Drosophila melanogaster: one gene and its partners. The protein of the gene in region 2 purifies or fractionates together with the protein of the main gene of each other region. This does not show direct contact. Each region holds a gene or a part of one and is shown on either strand. Other genes may lie near its edges.

The links.
Region 1: the proteins of Flad1 (region 2) and Cyp6a13 purify together in Drosophila melanogaster (affinity purification with mass spectrometry, with the first as the bait; one large-scale study listed by BioGRID). This does not show direct contact.
Region 3: the proteins of Flad1 (region 2) and SPE purify together in Drosophila melanogaster (affinity purification with mass spectrometry, with the first as the bait; one large-scale study listed by BioGRID). This does not show direct contact.
Region 4: the proteins of Flad1 (region 2) and CARPB purify together in Drosophila melanogaster (affinity purification with mass spectrometry, with the first as the bait; one large-scale study listed by BioGRID). This does not show direct contact.

What each region holds. Positions count from the first base shown.
Region 1 is NT_033778.4:8,568,648-8,572,854, forward strand, and holds Cyp6a13 (cytochrome P450 6a13), read left to right. Parts: upstream 1-1,851; 5' UTR 1,852-1,883; coding exon 1,884-3,365; 3' UTR 3,366-3,500; downstream 3,501-4,207. UniProt on the Drosophila melanogaster protein: May be involved in the metabolism of insect hormones and in the breakdown of synthetic insecticides.
Region 2 is NC_004354.4:12,900,540-12,905,366, reverse strand, and holds Flad1 (flavin adenine dinucleotide synthetase 1), read left to right. Parts: upstream 1-1,850; 5' UTR 1,851-2,026; coding exon 2,027-2,038; intron 2,039-2,204; exon of another isoform or gene 2,205-2,289; intron 2,290-2,400; coding exon 2,401-3,051; intron 3,052-3,515; coding exon 3,516-3,821; 3' UTR 3,822-4,014; downstream 4,015-4,827. Other genes in the region: CG4404 (uncharacterized protein), read left to right, coding at 333-1,090; Coq8 (coenzyme Q8), read left to right, coding at 4,412-4,827.
Region 3 is NT_033777.3:23,684,342-23,689,072, forward strand, and holds SPE (Spatzle-Processing enzyme), read left to right. Parts: upstream 1-1,913; 5' UTR 1,914-1,944; coding exon 1,945-2,020; exon of another isoform or gene 2,021-2,196; intron 2,197-2,370; coding exon 2,371-2,763; intron 2,764-2,979; coding exon 2,980-3,289; intron 3,290-3,349; coding exon 3,350-3,773; 3' UTR 3,774-3,806; downstream 3,807-4,731. Other genes in the region: CG18754 (uncharacterized protein), read left to right, coding at 43-364, 840-1,073, 1,139-1,535.
Region 4 is NC_004354.4:9,781,173-9,786,464, forward strand, and holds the start of CARPB (carbonic anhydrase-related protein B), read left to right. Parts: upstream 1-2,050; 5' UTR 2,051-2,227; intron 2,228-5,292. Other genes in the region: CG1354 (uncharacterized protein), read left to right, coding at 1-556.

The DNA of each region.
Region 1 (4,207 bases), on a different chromosome or scaffold from region 2:
TTAATAATAGAAAAAGACAGGAGGCTATCAGATACTATCAGATTGCGATATGCAAGCCCTAATTTCATAAAATATGTACATACATATTTAGTCCGGCGTACATATAAACTCCTGTGATTCTGATCTAACATATATGAGTCTCAAAGGGTTTCCTTCTATATTTTACTTTCAAACTTTTACTTTTAAACTTTTCAACGAATCTAGTATGCTCTTCACTTTACCTCTTAAAGAATAAGTTATATCATCACAATGTACAATAGTACACTTAAACTAAACAATGTATATAGTATTTGTTTACAACCTTATCTTCTAGTACCGTCTAGTTCACCATGGGAAAAAGCTTTGTCGACTCAAAAGCTGAGCAAATGTTTATATGTATATTGTACATATGTTTGATTGTTTGCTTGATTGCCGATTAAGCTCCCGAGATCTATGAAGAAAATTCGTTAGAACCTAACAATAAGCTTTCAAGAAAATACTTCGCGTACCAGTGTGCTGGATAGCTTAATCCAAAGAAGTATCTTGATCGCCATGCGGCTCACTCTCGCATTATTCAGTTTGGTCCCAATGTTGGCTTATATAGATTCTATTACAACACCTACACATATTGGGCCAGAACGGGGAGTGTCCCATGAGCGTCCTCTACCGCTGATTGCAAACATCAAGGGAATCGGCACATAGTGGATCCCGAATCCCAAAGCCGAGTTCAGAAGAAAGGGCCGCATTTACAGTTACCAACTCCAAGTTGGCTAAAAAGTTAAAAATGAAGATTCTTCGCGATGATTTGACCGACTTCTTCTTGTCGGTGGTTAAACCGGCATTAAGCGGAATGACTTTATGGACCAGTCCTCCGAGCGGAGGACGAAGTAGCAGGCAAGGAGGGTCAAAGTTTGATCTCTCCCACAACTGGACCCTGGAGCAAATGGCTGCCCAGGCCATCGTGTTCTTCTTGGCTGGATTCGAGACCTCCTCCAGTACGATGAGCTCTTGTAAGTACGAACTAGCCCTCCAGCCGGAGATCTAGAATCAAATAAGGGATGAAATAGAAAGGGTTCTGGAAGGAAATGCGATTACTTACGACGCCTTAGCTAAAATTAACTATCCAGAACAGGTCTTGTCTGGTAAGCATGGAAAATTTGATAGCGCAACTTAACTTTTAGAAACTCTTCGAAAACATCCAATTAATTAAATTTTTGCTCGAAACACAAGAAAGCTTTAGGGTCCGCAATACTGAGCTCATCGTTGAGAAGGGAACTTCATTACTGATACCTGTGCACAGTGTTCACTACGATCCGCACTTATATCCACATCCAAAACTCTTCGATTCCAGCCGCCTCAAGGCTTATAAGTCCAACTCCCGCCATCCATTTGCATATCTGCCCTTCGGAACATTTGGACCCCGCAGTTGCATAGGTCTGCGTTTTGGCAAAATGCAGGCCAAGATTGGCATTGTGTCAGCGCTTCAAGTTCGGTGATTCAGACCTAACAGACATCCCCTTAGCTTCGGACACTCGCAGCGCCATAGTGGAACGCATATAGACTCGGAATTTTACTAACTTTGGAAAGTTTAGAATGTACTTGTAAAACTTGTAAATAATCTAATAACGCTTAGCCAGTGAAGTTTTTTAAATTTTCAAATAATAATTGATCTGAAAACTGAACATTAGCAACGCTCTATATATTTTGTTTACAAATCATTTGATTCTCATTTAAAATGACGCAAGATATGTTTATGTATGTTTAGATAACTGCAGTTCTTTGCATATAAGACCGATAGAGAAAGAGAGTCCCCGAAAAGAGAGCGAAGCGAAAGCTTTTCAGACGGCAAATCAAATGTACCCCACTTTTCCACTCAGTTGTTATTCTATCGAGCAGTAGGTACCATGCTGACGCTCCTGGTACTCGTGTTCACCGTCGGACTTCTGCTATATGTCAAGCTACGCTGGCATTACAGCTACTGGAGCAGAAGGGGCGTCGCCGGAGAAAGACCCGTGTACTTCCGCGGCAATATGAGTGGGCTGGGAAGGGACCTTCACTGGACGGATATCAACCTGCGGATCTACCGGAAGTTTCGGGGAGTGGAGCGCTACTGCGGCTACTTCACTTTTATGACCAAGTCGCTGTTTATCATGGATCTGGAACTGATCCGCGATATAATGATCAGGGACTTTTCCAGCTTCGCCGATCGAGGACTCTTCCATAATGTGCGGGACGATCCACTGACCGGGAACCTTCTCTTCCTGGACGGACCGGAGTGGCGCTGGTTGCGCCAGAATTTGACGCAGGTGTTCACCTCCGGCAAGATGAAATTCATGTTCCCCAACATGGTGGAGGTGGGCGAGAAGCTAACGCAGGCGTGTCGCCTCCAGGTCGGCGAGATAGAGGCAAAGGATCTGTGTGCCAGGTTCACCACGGATGTGATCGGCAGCTGTGCCTTCGGCCTCGAGTGTAATAGTCTCCAGGATCCGGAGTCGCAGTTCCGGCGAATGGGCCGATCAGTGACCCAGGAGCCCCTGCATTCGGTGCTCGTCCAGGCCTTTATGTTTGCCCAGCCGGAGTTGGCTAGGAAGCTGCGCTTCAGGCTTTTTCGCCCGGAGGTCAGTGAGTTCTTCTTGGACACGGTACGCCAGACATTGGACTACAGGCGACGGGAGAATATTCATCGCAACGACCTGATCCAACTACTAATGGAATTGGGTGAGGAGGGAGTAAAAGACGCCCTCTCCTTCGAGCAGATTGCGGCCCAGGCATTGGTTTTCTTTTTGGCCGGGTTCGACACCTCCTCCACCACCATGTCCTTCTGCCTGTATGAGCTGGCCCTCAACCCCGATGTCCAAGAAAGGCTACGGGTTGAGGTACTCGCCGTTTTGAAACGCAACAACCAAAAGCTCACGTACGACTCCGTTCAGGAGATGCCCTACCTGGACCAAGTGGTTGCCGAGACGCTTCGCAAGTATCCTATACTGCCTCACTTACTGAGGCGTTCCACCAAGGAGTACCAGATACCGAATAGCAACCTAATCCTGGAGCCGGGATCTAAGATAATAATACCTGTGCATAGTATTCATCACGACCCAGAGCTTTATCCCGATCCAGAAAAGTTTGATCCCAGTCGCTTTGAGCCAGAAGAGATTAAGGCTAGGCATCCTTTCGCCTATTTGCCTTTTGGCGAGGGTCCTCGAAATTGCATAGGCGAGCGTTTTGGTAAACTGCAAGTGAAGGTGGGTCTTGTATACCTTCTAAGGGATTTTAAGTTCAGCAGGTCGGAGAAAACACAGATCCCGCTGAAGTTTTCCAGTCGTAATTTCCTGATATCCACCCAGGAGGGAGTTCATTTGAGGATGGAAGGACTTGAAAGACCATAATAGTTGTTATCTGAAAATGTGTATAATCCTGACAGCGCGAAATATGTATAGGAAAACTCTTATCTACAAAAGACTGCGTTCCAAGATTGCATTAATCCCTACATTATACAAATAAACACAAAGAAACTGTCTAGTATCAAAAAGCTTTTTTTACAATTGAATAATGATAGATAAATAAATAAAAAAGAATTCAATTTTAGAGAGGGAGAGAAACGACTTAAAAATATGTTTTGACTGGAAATTTGAATTCTTAAAAGAAGGTGTCTTTGAATTTAAATATTAACCAATCCGAATTTTAGATGTATGTACATACATATAAAATAAAAGCTTTTAAAAGCCAGTCTTGTATATACTCTCTGTCAGAATACTGTGCTCAAAAGCTTTATAATAATAAAATTTAATTTAGAAATCTTTAATAACAAGGATAGTTTAAAATCTAATTTAGGTTGTCCTAACGTTTGGCAAGCCAAATTATAATAAGATAAGATACATTACAGAACAAAAATATTTCTAAATATTTAGGGAAAACTTTATGTTATGTTTCAAAATAAATAAATAAAGTAATTCAGTTTTCACATGGGAAAAACTTACTCCACATTTACTTAAATTGTGAAATGAAAATTTTATTATCAAATCATAAGTTAAGCATTTATTACAGACATATTATTACATTATTACAGTTCCATAGCATTTCTTAAGCGACAATAAAGCTAATTGCTATAGCACTCAAGTTGGTGGATGACATGGACAAACCCATGGACTCAGCTTTACTCACACTTAAAAGCTGACTAATATAGCGTCTGGAAAAGTTTGTTATCAGTCAGTTTCTTACCAACTCAGTA
Region 2 (4,827 bases):
GTAGGTGTGTCACTGTGTCGCGCAGTTTTTGCCTGCAATTTGTTGCTGCTTTTGCGTTTCGCTTTTCGTTTACTGTTGCTGCACTCAGCCAAGGTGCACTGGAAAAAAACCAAGTACTATTCGTACAACTAAATTCCCATAATAAATTCAAAATAAATACAAAATAAAAGTATTTAAACTACAAAATATTCCATGTTACAAACAAGTATAAATCCAAGAATTGAGTTTGATGTGCAAATCAACTCAGTACTGTGGTTACCTTTTGGTGAACAAGTTTCAATTTGTACCGTAGAAATTTGTACTGTAAAAGATGTGTTTTGTTTCTCCTGCAGTTCGCAACTGTCGCGAGCGATGGCGCACCATAAGGAGCAGCTTCCTGCGATCCCTGAAGCTGGCACGCACACAAACGGGACGCGGCAAGCGCAAATACTACCTATCGAAGTATCTTCAGTTTCTCGTTCCGTTCACCAAGTCGCGATCCTGCCACAAGCAGCTGCCGGGCATGGTGCTCCGCAAACCCGGCCAAGCTGCCACTGCTCAGCAGGAAGATGAGGTGGTGGCGGCGGAGGAGGAGGCCAAGGTGAGCGATGGTGAGATGCCGCTGGACGTTCAGGTGTCCGAGGAGGAGCATCGTCGTAATCAGGAACAGGATCGGGAGCAACCCACCGCCTGTTTGCCGCTCCGCCTGCATTCCATCAAAGTGGAGCACGATTCGTCAAATGCGAACCAGCAGCTGGAGCGGATGGTGAGCCAGCAGTCGCTGGTCTCGGTGCCCGCCGCCGCGCTGGGCAATCACCTGGGCTGGTCGGATCTGACGCAGTGGTTCAAGGGACATGGCAGCGGTCATCACAAGTTAACCACAACAACAACAACACCAACATCACCACCACCGCCGCCGCAGCCGGCTACGTCAGCTCTAAGTGTTTTCACTGGCGGACCAGGAGGAGGTGGCTCACAACCGGATGCCGACTACTCCTTTCTGATCAGCCTGCATCCGTACATCAAGGAGATGAACGGCAAGCAGAATCGAAAGTTTCGACAGAAGGTCGTCGGACTCATCGACGATATTCTGGATAACAAGGATGTCTAATTTGTACACGGAAAAAAAACCGAAGATGCTTACGTTTCAGCGATGAAAATTACGATTTGTAAACGGCTCTATCAAAATTACCACACACAAGAGATGCATATTTTGAATGATTGTGCGGAAATATTCTACATACCAAATGCAACATTATTTCAAAACCAACATTTTCACCACTTTCAGATTTCATTCTGGCCATCATATTGCTAACTTTTAGACAATGAACTTAGTTTTTAAATATTTATGTCTAAGTTAAGTGTGAACGTACATGAAATTTATATCGAAGTTTATATGCACTGCATCGAAATTTGTAAAGCGCCCAGTGGAACAGGATGAAATCACCAGTTATGTGATATTTTCTCTCCGTGAAGAAAAAAAGCCACAAGAATCGAAGAAAACACACCCAGTTGATAGAAAACGCCAACAGTGCCCATTTATTAGATGTGTAGAGCGTACTTTAATTACGCTTTTTATTGTTGTTGTTAAGCACACACACAAACACGAATTTGTTATTGTCGAATAAAACATTTAAACTACGAACATTTTATTTTACTTCAGACGGAACAGAAACAAAATTTGCGTATATATGTCGCATTTGCTGGCGATATGCGAAATTGCGGATTAAAATCAAAACGAAACTTTCAAAATTATTTAATGTATAAATTTCTAGCTTTTTTTTTGAATTTCTAGCTAGCCAACCGCCTTAATCGAGTGCAATCGATAGATTCAGCGCACAGCTGATGCACCGATAGTACGCAAAGCTTCCTGGCTTTGTTGTTGTTGTTGTCGCCGTTCGCTTGTTGTTGCACTAAAAAGACGAAAAAAGGAAGGAAAATCACTGGCGCGGAATAACAATTAACAAAATGGAATAATTGCATTGCTGTCGCCGTAACTCATCAGTTAAATGTGCGCCAGTAAACAGTCGATGCAGCAACGAAACACATGAGCTATTGGGTGAGCTATGCGCGTGTGTGCGTGCGCCATGTGTTTGGCCTGCATGCGTGTGTGTGCGTGTGCGTGTGAGGGCCTGAGGTTTTGGCTTTATATCACTTTTTTTTTGTTTTTGCTGACTTTTCCGATACGAAAGTGATGTAATTTTTGGCTGGCCACAAATAAGCCAACTCACTCGCACGTCAACCGCCGAAGCATTTACCACGCTCATCGCACAGTTAAAGTTTGTTTATGGGCCTAGAAAATTACATAAAGTAAATACTTACACACACACACACACACGCAAAAAAAAGATATTTTTCGGCGAAAGTTTTTTTTATGTTTTATTTATTGAGTGCTAATAGTTGCTCTTTTGACTTTAACAGCGTGTGACGTCATCGTTTTTGCTAGCCAGGGCACGGCCACGCCTCCCACAAACATTACGCCCACTGAGCACCATGAACGAATGCCGGAAGAACATCACAAACATCACAAACATTACAGCGAACAACAGCATTCTATGCGCAAAGAGCATTAGCAAAAAGCATTTGTTTCTAGAGAAACGGAGCATGTCGGATCGTTCGGAGAACTCCAAGGATGTGGCAAAGGGACAGGATATATCAAATCCAATGGAACTAACAGCCGAGGATCGACTGGCCATTGAGGAGCGGCAAAATAAAGCGTTCGCCTTCTTCGCCGAAACCCTGCAAATCTACGGCGTCGAGGAGCTAATTTTCTGTTTCAACGGCGGCAAGGATTGCACCGTGCTGCTCGATCTCCTTATGCGTTACCTGCGCCAGGAGAACATCTCCAGCGGCGACATTCCCATGCTGTACATTAAATCCGGCGATTCGTTTCCGGAAATCGATGAGTTCGTCGAGCGTTGCGTACGCAACTACCGCGTCCAGTTGGTTCAGTACGAGGGTACGCTCAAGGAGGCACTCACCCACATGTCGTCGGACATGCCGCGGATCAAGGCCGTCTTCGTGGGCAGCCGCAACACGGATCCCTACTGCCAGCATCTGGCGCCCATGCAGGTGAAGCTGGTTAGGAATATAGCAATCAGGAGATAAATCATATTTAAATGTTTTGCACTGAAATGCTCAGGAGTTCGTAGGTTCAAGTGTGAAGAAAAGTTTCTTTCTCAAGAGTAGTAGATTGATTATAAAGCCAAGTTATCAAAGTCACAGCCTTAGTATCAAAATTATGCCATTGTTAATCTAGAAAAGTATGTGCCCTTTGCCAATATCACAGTGACAGTGGCATTTTCGAATGTCATGATTCCATTCCGCAGATAAGCGAGTTCTGTGGTTCACCACCTAACATAGAATTTATTCGAGTATTTTACAAAACCAAATGTATCCCGCTTATTTGAAAATCTCACAAGATCACAAAGATAATAATGAAGCTAGCTTGAAATAGTTTTGGAAAGTTCGAAACTGCTGTTTCCTATTAGGAAACCCCAAGTGCCTAGTGATGCTAATTTCGATTTTTTTTTTAGCCCACGGACAACGACTGGCCGCCGATGATGCGCCTGAATCCGCTGCTGGAGTGGAGCTACCACGACGTCTGGCACTACATCCACTTGAACTCGGTGCCCTATTGCAGCCTGTACGATCGGGGCTACACCTCGATCGGGAATCGTGCGAACACAGTGCCTAATCCGCACCTCCGACGCACCGATGCCGAGTGTGAATGTGGTTCTAATTCCGATGCCGTCTGCTCCTGCGATCTGGGTGGCTATCGGCCCGCCTGGGAGCTCCAGGATGCCACCATGGAGCGTGCTGGTCGCCTGCCCAGGAAGTAGGATTCCATTTGCGTGGCTATAGTGTAATTGAATAGCTTAAACTCCAGTTAGTCACGAAACTTTATATAGCTGTGTATATATATTAACGTGTGATCTGGATTTCGGTAAACAAACTTAATTTAGTAAAATTTTGTACGACCTAAGGTATGCCGCTGAATAAATGTGGCCTCTGTTAGCAGGCCACTTAAGCAGTATTCCTAGTTTTTATGGAGTATTTAAATTTTTAGTTGTTTAGTTGTTGAATGTTTCTTTCTAATTTTGCATAAAAGCTGAAGCAAGCTAAAAGAGCCAAAGAAACAGCACTGGCTTCAGTGCAAAATCTAGTGCTGCAGCAAGCTGGCTTTTAAAAGCTAGAAAAAGCTCAAGATGCCATGGTGCCACTGTTAAAACGCCAGCATGGCAGCACTAGATGGCCAGTCAGCTGTTTTGCCAGCTGATTTTCGCCGCATTTTCACAACATTACGCGATTCTTTGAACTTTTTTTGCTGTGATATTTTTACGAGATTTACGTAATCCTACGCGCCGATCATCACCAGCGAATCACCCACGCGAGAGCAGTGCACAATAAACCAGTATTTCCTCGCTCCGCGATGTCGCGATCCGCACAAGAAGCTGCGGCGCTGCTGCGGGGACTGCGGATCTTGTTGGAGGCGTGTGGGCGCGAGCATCTCGCCCACGGTCGTCATCTGTGGAGCAATTCAAGCATTCGTGAGCTAATCGCCGAGAATGTGGCGCACACACAGCAGCTGGTGAGAAGTTCCAGTCAAAATCCCACCGAGGAGCTGAAAAAACTGCAGCAAACTGTAAAAGAAACGGGCGAAAGGGGCTACGTGGTGGCCAAAGGTATTTGCTCGCTGCTGGAGACGAAAATCAAGATGTCCCGCGAGGAATCGGCCATCTCTGAGCCTGCACAAGTCTCCTCAATTCGTAAATCCACACCCACGGCACAAAATCCAGCAAGTTGGGACGCCGCCAACTTGGATATATCATCCATAACGCTGCAGGA
Region 3 (4,731 bases), on a different chromosome or scaffold from region 2:
ACTTTATCGGGGCTTTCACTTATCTATTTTTGTAATTTATAGTTCGGTTATCAAGCTGCCAAAAGGATGAGAAATGCACCAGACTGGTTAGCTGCTCGCCGCTTATGAACATCCTTAGGCCCCGGGGCATGACCCAGGCGGAGAAAGATGTGTTTGCACACAGGCAGTGTGGCCTGGACCCCAATGGACACGAGTTGTTGCACATGGTTTATGTCTGCTGCCCAGAGTTGGGTGACGTCTTGCCCAACAAACAGACCTGTGGACAAACGACGCCCGTGTTCCGAGATCGGGGTGCCGAGAATGCAGAGCTTAATGAGTACCCTTGGATGGTATTGCTGTTATATGAGAATCGGCTATCCTTGATGTGGAATCAACGAACTGGTTGTGCGGGCTCACTGATCAACAGTCGCTGTTCACACATGAACACGAATATATTTAAAGACTTACAATTTTGGGCTCCGTTCATATCTTATGTAAATGAATCGAGAGCGATAAATTATATTTAGGATTTTGTTATCTAAGGCGACATGGGTGCATTGCTCAAAAACATGTAATTTAAGTGCACACTACATGAGTCAGTCACTTGAGATCTTTCCCCGCCTCCTAAAATAGTCCCTTAGTGGGAGACCACAGATAAGGTCCTCGCCGCTCAAGATAGGCAGATGTGCCCGAGCGTGGGACCTCGATAAGGCGGGGACTATTTACTTAGGCCTCTGCGTAGGCCATTTACTTTAAGATGCGATTCTCATGTCACCTATTTAAACCGAAGATATTTCCAAATAAAATTAGTTTCTTACAAAAACTCAACGAGTAAAGTCTTCTCATTTGGGATTTTACAGTCGCTATGTGCTGACCGCTGCCCACTGCGTGATCGGTGGTTACTTGACGCAGAATGACCTGGTTCTGAAGAGTGTGCGCCTGGGCGAGTCCACTACCGACTGCATCACCTCGGAAAGCAGGTGTCCACATTTGGATGTGGAGGTGGGGCAAACAACAGTACATCAGGGTTTCACTTCGAGTGGCGGAACTTACCGCAACGACATCGCCCTCCTCCGATTGCAATTCCCAGTGCGGTGAGTAGCAGTGATCTCCACCCTAATCTCCACATCTTATGGAAATTTCTTTACAAACCCGCTAGATACACGAAAAAGATCCAACCCATTTGTCTATTGGACGCCGAATTTCCCCTACAGGATTTGAATTTGCAAATCTCTGGCTGGGATCCGACTAAAAGCAGTCAAACGTTGATCACCAGCACGGTCAAGGAAAGGAATCCTGCTGATTGCTTGAATAGGTATCCCAGCTTTCGCTCCGCGTCCCAAGTATGCGCCGGTGGTCAACGGAAAGGGGACACCTGTGCGGGCATCTCCGGCAGTCCGGTAATGGGCATCATGGGAAGCGGCGTCGACGAGTTCGTCTTTTTGGCAGGCATTGCCTCATATGGACAACAATATTGCTACTCTGCTGGTATTCCAGGTGTTTACACAAAAATTGGCCACTTTTCGGAGTGGATCAAAGCGAATTTGGCTCCCTAATTTTAATAAAGAATTCATATTTGCAAAATTGGAATAGCATCTGTTCCATTAATCCACTACTATAAAGTAATAGACCTATAAAACCCCAAAAGATAAGAAAAAGCACTGAAGATTGTTTTTTAAAAAACGTGTTGTTCAAAAAACATAACGTGCCGAGAGAAGATTAAGCATAAATAAATTTCTAATAACTACACCGCTGGGTTTGCCCAGCTCAGCAGAACTACTATGTAAATATTAAGGCAGGGAAAGACCACCCTATTCACATAGCTTTTGCCTTTGTTGCAATCTAGATGGTATTGAGTCCGGAGATAACCTCTGCTAATCACGCCCAATGCATCGGGAGAGAATCGGTGACAGCGAAACTGCCGGACAGCTTGGTTAGTATCAGCTTGGAGCCCATAGCGACGAGATGGCTTCTACGGAACGGAATTTTCTGCTACTGTCACTGGTGGTCAGCGCATTATCCGGCTTGGTCCATCGATCAGGTGGGTAAGCTGTCCTTTGGGCAAACAATATCCACAGCAACTGGATGCAATGGTGCTTCTTTCAAAAGTATATAGTTCTATATATATAGTATAGTATAGTATATAGTTTGAATAAAGCTAGAAAAACTAAGCACTTGACCTTGTTGATTGTGAGAATAAAAACCATAACAACTAATAATCAAAGAGTTTTTGAAAACTTCAAATATATTAAATATCAACATATAGTTTCCCGGACTAAGAAATTTTATGAGAAATATTAGACATGAAGTCCATTAGTAGAATGGATTGCCTTTAATGGATTGGTTCAGAACCGGTTAGACTGCATCGTAAATCGCGCTCTTCTCTTCCAGACGCAGCGGAGATCAGCTTTGGCAGTTGTACGCCCCAGCAGAGCGATGAGCGCGGCCAGTGCGTTCACATCACCAGCTGCCCCTACCTGGCCAACCTGCTGATGGTGGAGCCAAAGACTCCCGCCCAGCGAATCCTTCTCTCCAAGAGCCAGTGTGGCCTGGACAACAGGGTTGAGGGCTTGGTGAATCGAATCCTGGTCTGCTGTCCGCAGAGCATGCGGGGCAATATCATGGACTCGGAACCAACTCCTTCGACGAGGGATGCACTGCAGCAGGGGGATGTGCTGCCTGGAAATGACGTCTGCGGCTTCCTTTTCGCTGATCGCATTTTCGGGGGCACCAATACGACCCTCTGGGAATTCCCATGGATGGTATTGCTGCAGTACAAAAAACGTGAGTAGATTACCTACCCAGGCTCTATTTTAATCTCTTATAGGAAGGTTGTTTCACGAGGTCACCTGTAATCATTTTTTAATCACTTTTTCAAATCAAATTCTCCAATGGGGGGATCATCATTATAAGAAAACGCATATTCAATATATACAAGGCTATTATTAGTATCTAATCAATTTATAATATGTACTTGGGAAACGCTCTTTATCCTTTCAGTTTTTTCTGAAACCTACACTTTCAACTGCGGCGGTGCATTGCTCAACTCGCGCTACGTCCTGACCGCTGGACACTGCCTGGCCAGCCGAGAACTGGACAAATCCGGTGCCGTTCTACACAGCGTTCGCCTGGGGGAGTGGGACACTCGTACCGATCCTGACTGCACCACCCAGATGAACGGACAGCGCATCTGTGCACCGAAACACATCGACATTGAGGTCGAGAAGGGCATCATCCACGAGATGTATGCTCCCAATTCCGTTGATCAGCGTAATGACATTGCGTTGGTGCGCCTTAAGAGGATTGTTAGGTATGTGGTCCAGAGATCCCTCAATTATTCCACTGACTTGCTTTTTTGTTTTTGCCACAGCTACACCGACTACGTGCGTCCAATATGCCTTCCCACGGATGGTTTAGTCCAAAACAACTTTGTGGACTACGGCATGGATGTGGCCGGCTGGGGACTTACCGAGAACATGCAGCCAAGTGCGATCAAGCTGAAGATCACCGTCAACGTTTGGAACCTAACGAGTTGTCAGGAAAAGTACTCCAGCTTCAAGGTGAAACTGGACGATTCTCAGATGTGTGCCGGCGGCCAGTTGGGCGTGGATACATGCGGTGGCGATTCCGGCGGTCCCCTTATGGTGCCTATATCCACGGGCGGCCGGGATGTCTTCTACATTGCCGGCGTCACCTCCTACGGGACGAAGCCCTGCGGCCTCAAGGGATGGCCCGGCGTCTATACCCGCACGGGGGCTTTCATCGATTGGATAAAGCAGAAATTGGAGCCATGATGAATACATACTTAAATACATGATAACCATGTGAAAAGCGCGATGTAGATATTGGGGTTTAATCAATTCACATGAGATCGGCACTGTCAAGTTTTGCGAGCACAACCGGTTGTAATAATATCGAACCACTTTTCTGTCAATCTGTGATCAGCAAAGTCTGGTAGTAGCTTGCCCACGTAATTTCCCATATTCTAATGGAAAAGTAGAGGAAAATCTCTGGAACTCATTTATCTCTGTTGCAATAGCCATCTCACTTGTCAATCTAGACGGCAGATGTGCCGGAGAGCTTGGTCAGTATCGGATTGGGTTCTGGGGTATCGAGATGGCTTCCATGGAATGGAATTTTCTACTATTGCTAATGGTCATCTGCGCATTTTCCGAGTGGGTCCAACATTCAGATGGGATGCCATAAACGACAACGATTTCACCTGGATCCGCTTAAAATTTTGAAATATATCCACACACGAGGTGGAGAAGGGCATTGTACATGACCAATAGTTGCCTAATTCCGTAGACCAGCAGAATGACATTGCTTTGGTTTTGAAAAGGAGTGGCATTGAAAAGGAGTGGCGGGTGTGTGGGATGTGTGAGTATTCCATAACTTCTTCATCATTGTTATTCATTCACCAGCTACACCGACTACGTGCGCCCCATTTGCCTGCCCACGGGCGATCTGATCCAGATCCAATTGTGCGCCGGCGGCATGTACGGCTATGGATACCTGCGATGGCGATTCTGGCGGTCCCTTGATGGTGTCCATATCCACAGGCAGCCGGGACGTATTCTACATCGCTGGCATTACTTCCTACGGCACGAAGCAGTGCGGCCTCGGTGGATAACCCGGTGTATATACCCTCAGGGGGGCTTTCATCGATTGGATAAAGCAGAAATTGGAGGCATAATAAATAAAATTGCTAGTTTATTCACATTTCTCGCATTGGCTAGCTTACAATATTAC
Region 4 (5,292 bases), 3.1 Mb from region 2:
CAAGTATCTGTTCCTGACCTCCAAACCGGTCATCTACCTGGTGAACCTTTCGGACAAGGACTTCATCCGCAAGAAGAACAAGTGGCTGCCGAAGATCAAGGAATGGATCGACAAGAACGATCCCGGAGCACTGCTCATTCCCTTCTCCGGCGCCTTCGAGCACCAGCTGACCGAAAAGGACGAACTGGAGCGCAAGGCCTACGAGACGGAGACCAAGTGCAAAAGTATGCTGGAGAAGATCGTTGTGACCGGCTACAAGGGACTGCAGCTGGAGTACTTCTTCACCGCCGGGCCGGATGAAGTGAAGGCCTGGACCATCCAGAAGGGCACCAAGGCTCCCCAGGCTGCCGGACGCATTCACACCGACTTCGAGAAGGGCTTCATTATGGCCGAGGTGATGCACTTCGAGGACTTCAAGGCGGAGGGCAGTGAGGCGAATGCCAAGGCCGCTGGCAAATATCGCCAACAGGGACGCAACTACACCGTCGAGGATGGCGACATCATATTCTTTAAGTTCAACGCCGGCGCTGGCCTCAAGGATGCCAAGAAGAAATGATACCGTTTGGCCATGATCATCGCCATGTCCACCGTTTTGTACATTAACTTGATCTTGTACTCCCAGATGTTTCGCTTCGCCAGAGGCTAGCTCCTCATTATCACATCCCTCACTCTCATGTTCGAGGCCTGAAAATGCATTTTGAATTTCCTTTTTTTTTGTACGCTATGTAAACACGCTTATGACACACAATCTCAGTCGTTGTTTGTTATGGTAACAGGCGGGTTAACTGGAGCACCATTTGAATCCGCAGTGATACTTGAATATTCTATAAGAATTTACCTATGTATCTTTGTGGCTATATGATCATTTGTCATGGGATTGAGATTTTTAAACATGCAAGTAATAAAATCAGGTTGTAGATTTGGCAAGTACTAGTATTGTGTTGCTATCCCTTTGCTCCTAGCTAGCAACAAACAATAAGAAATGACATATCCCTTGTCAGGCATTGACATTGTGGTAACCGAAGTCTCGGATTTCTATTGCTGAGCCGTGGCAAAACTTTTTAATCATGCTGGCAAAGTTGCTGTTGGAAACACCTGTGCAAACCTCTTTGCCACCAGAGCCAACAGGAAAAGCGGCCAAGTGCAAGGAGCTGTGCCACAAAGACTCAAAAGGAGGGAGCAGGGGCTGTGCTGTGCGCTGGTTGCTCTGTGCAAATGCAGCTGCATCCAGTACACAAAGGATCGGGTGGTTGAGGTAGCTGGCTGGTTGCCTGGTTGGTTGGCTGGTTGGCTGGTTCCACTGACTCTGGTCGCAGCGGCAACTTGCTAAGCACATAATTTGGTTTACCGCATTGCCAAACATGCGCCGCCAGAAACACGCACATTCCCCCTAAATCCCAATCTCAAACCCTTTTTCGGTTGCTTCTGGGTTCTGTTAATCTTTGCCAAAAGAAACTTTTCTTGTGCACCGTGTGACGAGCTCGAAATGTGGAGCATAATTCAAAAGTCTGCAATGAAAGTAAGGAAAAGTTTCAAAAATGTTCTATACATTTTGGGATTATGGTTTTGAGTGCAAGAAGAATGCCTCAAAATATTCAAATATTATCTTATAAAGGACCTGATTCATAGTTCAAGACTTTTTTTTACTACCAACTCATTAAAAATTATACATATAAGTGCAGTTATTTTTTAGCTATTTTTTAAATAAATTTTATAAACTATTTTTTGTTTTTTGATATTGTTTAACCCACAGTGCCACTGTGCGCAACTGCATTGCATCCTTGTGTGTTGGCTGCAAAAGTTTTTTGCGTGAGCTCGACAACTTTTCATATGAAATGTGCAAAATTACACACTCCTCCGGTCCAAGAAACGAGCCGACAAAAATATTTTGAATGTTTTATTAGCTCCCAAACTAGCCAAAGAGTGGGCGTGGCAGTTGGAGTTGCGGTGGAAATGGAGAAATCCAATTGCCCCGGCCTTGTAGTTAATTAAAGTGTAATGTCCTGCCCCAAGAATGGCTACACATTCAGCAGGAGCTGGAGCTGGAGCCATCGTGGTGCCCACGTTGACAAGGCCCATCAGAGGAGCGTGAAATATGGCCACTTTAGAGTCCGGCCAAATGGCCCGTTCGCCGTAGAGCCGCTCTGTCCTCGACGTTCGTCAACAAAGGGGCCAAACACAAATCATTCGGAATAGAACAATTCGGAATAATGGGTACGAGTTTCAGGTGAGCGAATAAAGAAATACCCTATACGTATTGAAATCGGTTGGTATCAGTGGATCTTTCTGGTGTCTAAAAGTATGCAGCAATATATTTCTAATTTGTCTGCTCCAAGGATTCACTTAATGTTGAAAGGAGATAGCAAGTAGCCATGTTGCAACATCCATGTAATAGATAAGTCGCCCGATCCTGCCAGGCTAACGATAACAAAGCCAACTAGTCGCAGCGGCATCGTCATTCATGCACTCAATTCAGAAATTCATTCAATTCAATTGAAAAATGGCGCTTGAATATTTGACGCATGCAAAATGGTTGGGCGTTAGAGCGTAGGGGGTGGGCGTGGCACGCCGTCAGCATCAACTGTCACTTGCAGAGGGCATCGTGGGCAGCAAAGCGTTAAAAATGACTGTCATAAATTAATGAGCGACGAATCCGGAGTGACGCATCGAAATTGAATTGAATATATTTTTCGCTGAATTGGCGTTCATTATTCATTTACAGCTGTCTCTAGACATTCGAAGATCTGATACGTACATATATATATATATATATGTATATATCTATCTATTCCAACTACCTTTAATTGCTTGTAAAAAGTGCATTGCACCGTTGGCTGTGCCACCCACTTTTAAGCCCACCCATCGTCTCAATTTCAATCCCAATCTGGCCATAAACGTGACAATAATATAAATCAGCAGATTGCGCCGCACTCACTCACTCGATGGGCTCCTCCGGAATCCGGAACCTTATCGTCATAATCACGTATCCGCATCCCCCCGTTATTATCATCATTATCATGGGCAGGACCCATCATCATTGTTCCTGTCGTCTACGCCGGCATTTAACTTAATGCCCACATGCGGCGACAGCGTAAAACGATTTGAGTCCCCGGGATTAGATTCCCAGCTGCAGCAACAGGAGTTCATAGTGGGTGTGGGAATGTGTAACGGTATGGGTATGGGGTCAACTCAAATGGGTTGGAGGAGTGGGGTCAGGGGTCAGGTCTAACTTGCGTTGCAACGAAGGTAAAACGTGCCGTTCATGGAAATAAAGCGTGTAATTGTTTTGGCAGCTGCCGAAACGTTTTAACAGCTAATTAAGAAGCCATCAGACACAGGAAAATGGTTAGAGAAAGTAGAGAAAGCTGCTGGGTTCGAGAGTGTGGGGAAACAATGGCAGCTATATCAAAAAGATTTAACTCAAGATTAGAAAACATTTGACGAAATTAAAGTATATTATAACAACGATTTTCTAAACTCATTTTTGCCACATAAAATCGAACTATTTTAAAGGGTAGTTCAATGATCATAAACATTTGCAGGCATGTTATATTAAATGAAAGATCGAATGGGTTGAGTATAAAGTTCTTTTAGTTCACGTTGCACTCGAATTTTCCGTTGCCTTCGTTTTGACAAAGTCACTGCAAGCAGAGCAATTTCATCAACACCTTCTCTCGAGTAATTAAATTCGCTGGGCGGAAGTTGGTTTCCGATGCTCCCGATTCACGACTTTGCCTTTGACACTAATAAGCGGGATATCATGCCGTGGTCTGCGAGTATTTTCGTTGGCCTTCTGGGAACCGAAATCTGAAATCTGAACGCTAAAATCCGAGAGGCAAAAGCTGAAAGGCGAGAGTCAGCGCTGAAAAACAATACATTAAGCGACTTTCAATCTCCCAGTGGGTGGTCTCAGTCTGTCTCAGTGTGCGTGCTTCTCTCGCTGTTTTAGTGTGTGTGTGTTTGAGTGCAAACAGACTCACACACACACACACACACGGACAGGCGCACACGTATGGCACCGGAAAATGTGTTCATTTCCGGTGTCAGTGTCAGAAGCAACAATGGGGCAGCATCTCGCCAACTTTTGCCCGCCGTGACTTTGATGAAAAATCGCGAAGCTGACGCTGCCAGTCGACCTCCGAAACGTGTGTGTCCTTGGCGATGGCAGCGTGACACGATGGGCAATGGGGTCAACCGATATTTAACATCATCAATTGGTTGAAGAAAAAACTACACTTTGTATACTTTTATGCGGAATAAGGAACAAATTCATAGTTAACCAATGAGTCAAATGTATTGTAAATCCTGTTTTAATGCATTTTTTCTACTGGTATTCTTTACATTTAAAGAGCTTTTAAGTAGCTTAAAAATAAATATTTCGGTGCCACTTTGGGTTCATTATAACAATAAGCCATTCCCTAATGAGTTGCAATAGTTTGCCATCTCTAGGACTTGCAGACACACACACACACCCACACACTCGACTCCCTTATGTGCGATGCACTTCATTCAGGCGAGAAAAAGAGAAGAGACATCATAATAATGTGGCCCATGTGGAAAACAAAGCAAACAAGCAAACAAAACCCAACCAACAAGTGAGCAGACAAAAAGAGCCTGGCGAATGCCAAAAAGTAGGCAACACATCCTATCCCACACACCCACACACACACACCACCAAACGAAAGAGAGCTGCCCAAATGCAGCATATATTTTTAATTTCCTCTTATACATATGCAACCTATAGAATAAAGGGGTCCACTACGGCAACCGCAATCTATACTTATGAACCACTCCAACCCGCACCCGTCTATGTCTATATACATATCATGTGTAATGTTTGTGGGTTAGAAGCCCATAAGTAAAAGCAGCACAGGTACCGATGGAAATGGGAATAATGGAAACAATGCAATTTGGTCAAGAACGAAGTAACTCGATAACTTATTAAGGGTGCATGATATGCATACATGTGGTATGAGATGCCGTACGTTGCTTATTTAAATGATTGCAGTCATAACAATCAGCATCAATCTATCAATCAATAATTTGAAGTGCCTATTGTTTAAGTGTAAAATTACTATGTCAATGCCAATAGTTGCTGTCTAGTTAGGAAAAAGTTCTTCAATATTTCAATGAATATTTTAAACCTTTCATTTCCATCTTTAATAACATAATTTTCATCTGGTTTAATTCGCTTTCCTCGACTTTCGATTGCATTTACCGTGAGTGTCGTCGGACGATCTGAGGCATTACTAATAAGGAGCCAAGTGGGGGCTTTTCATGCTTGACTGGGCC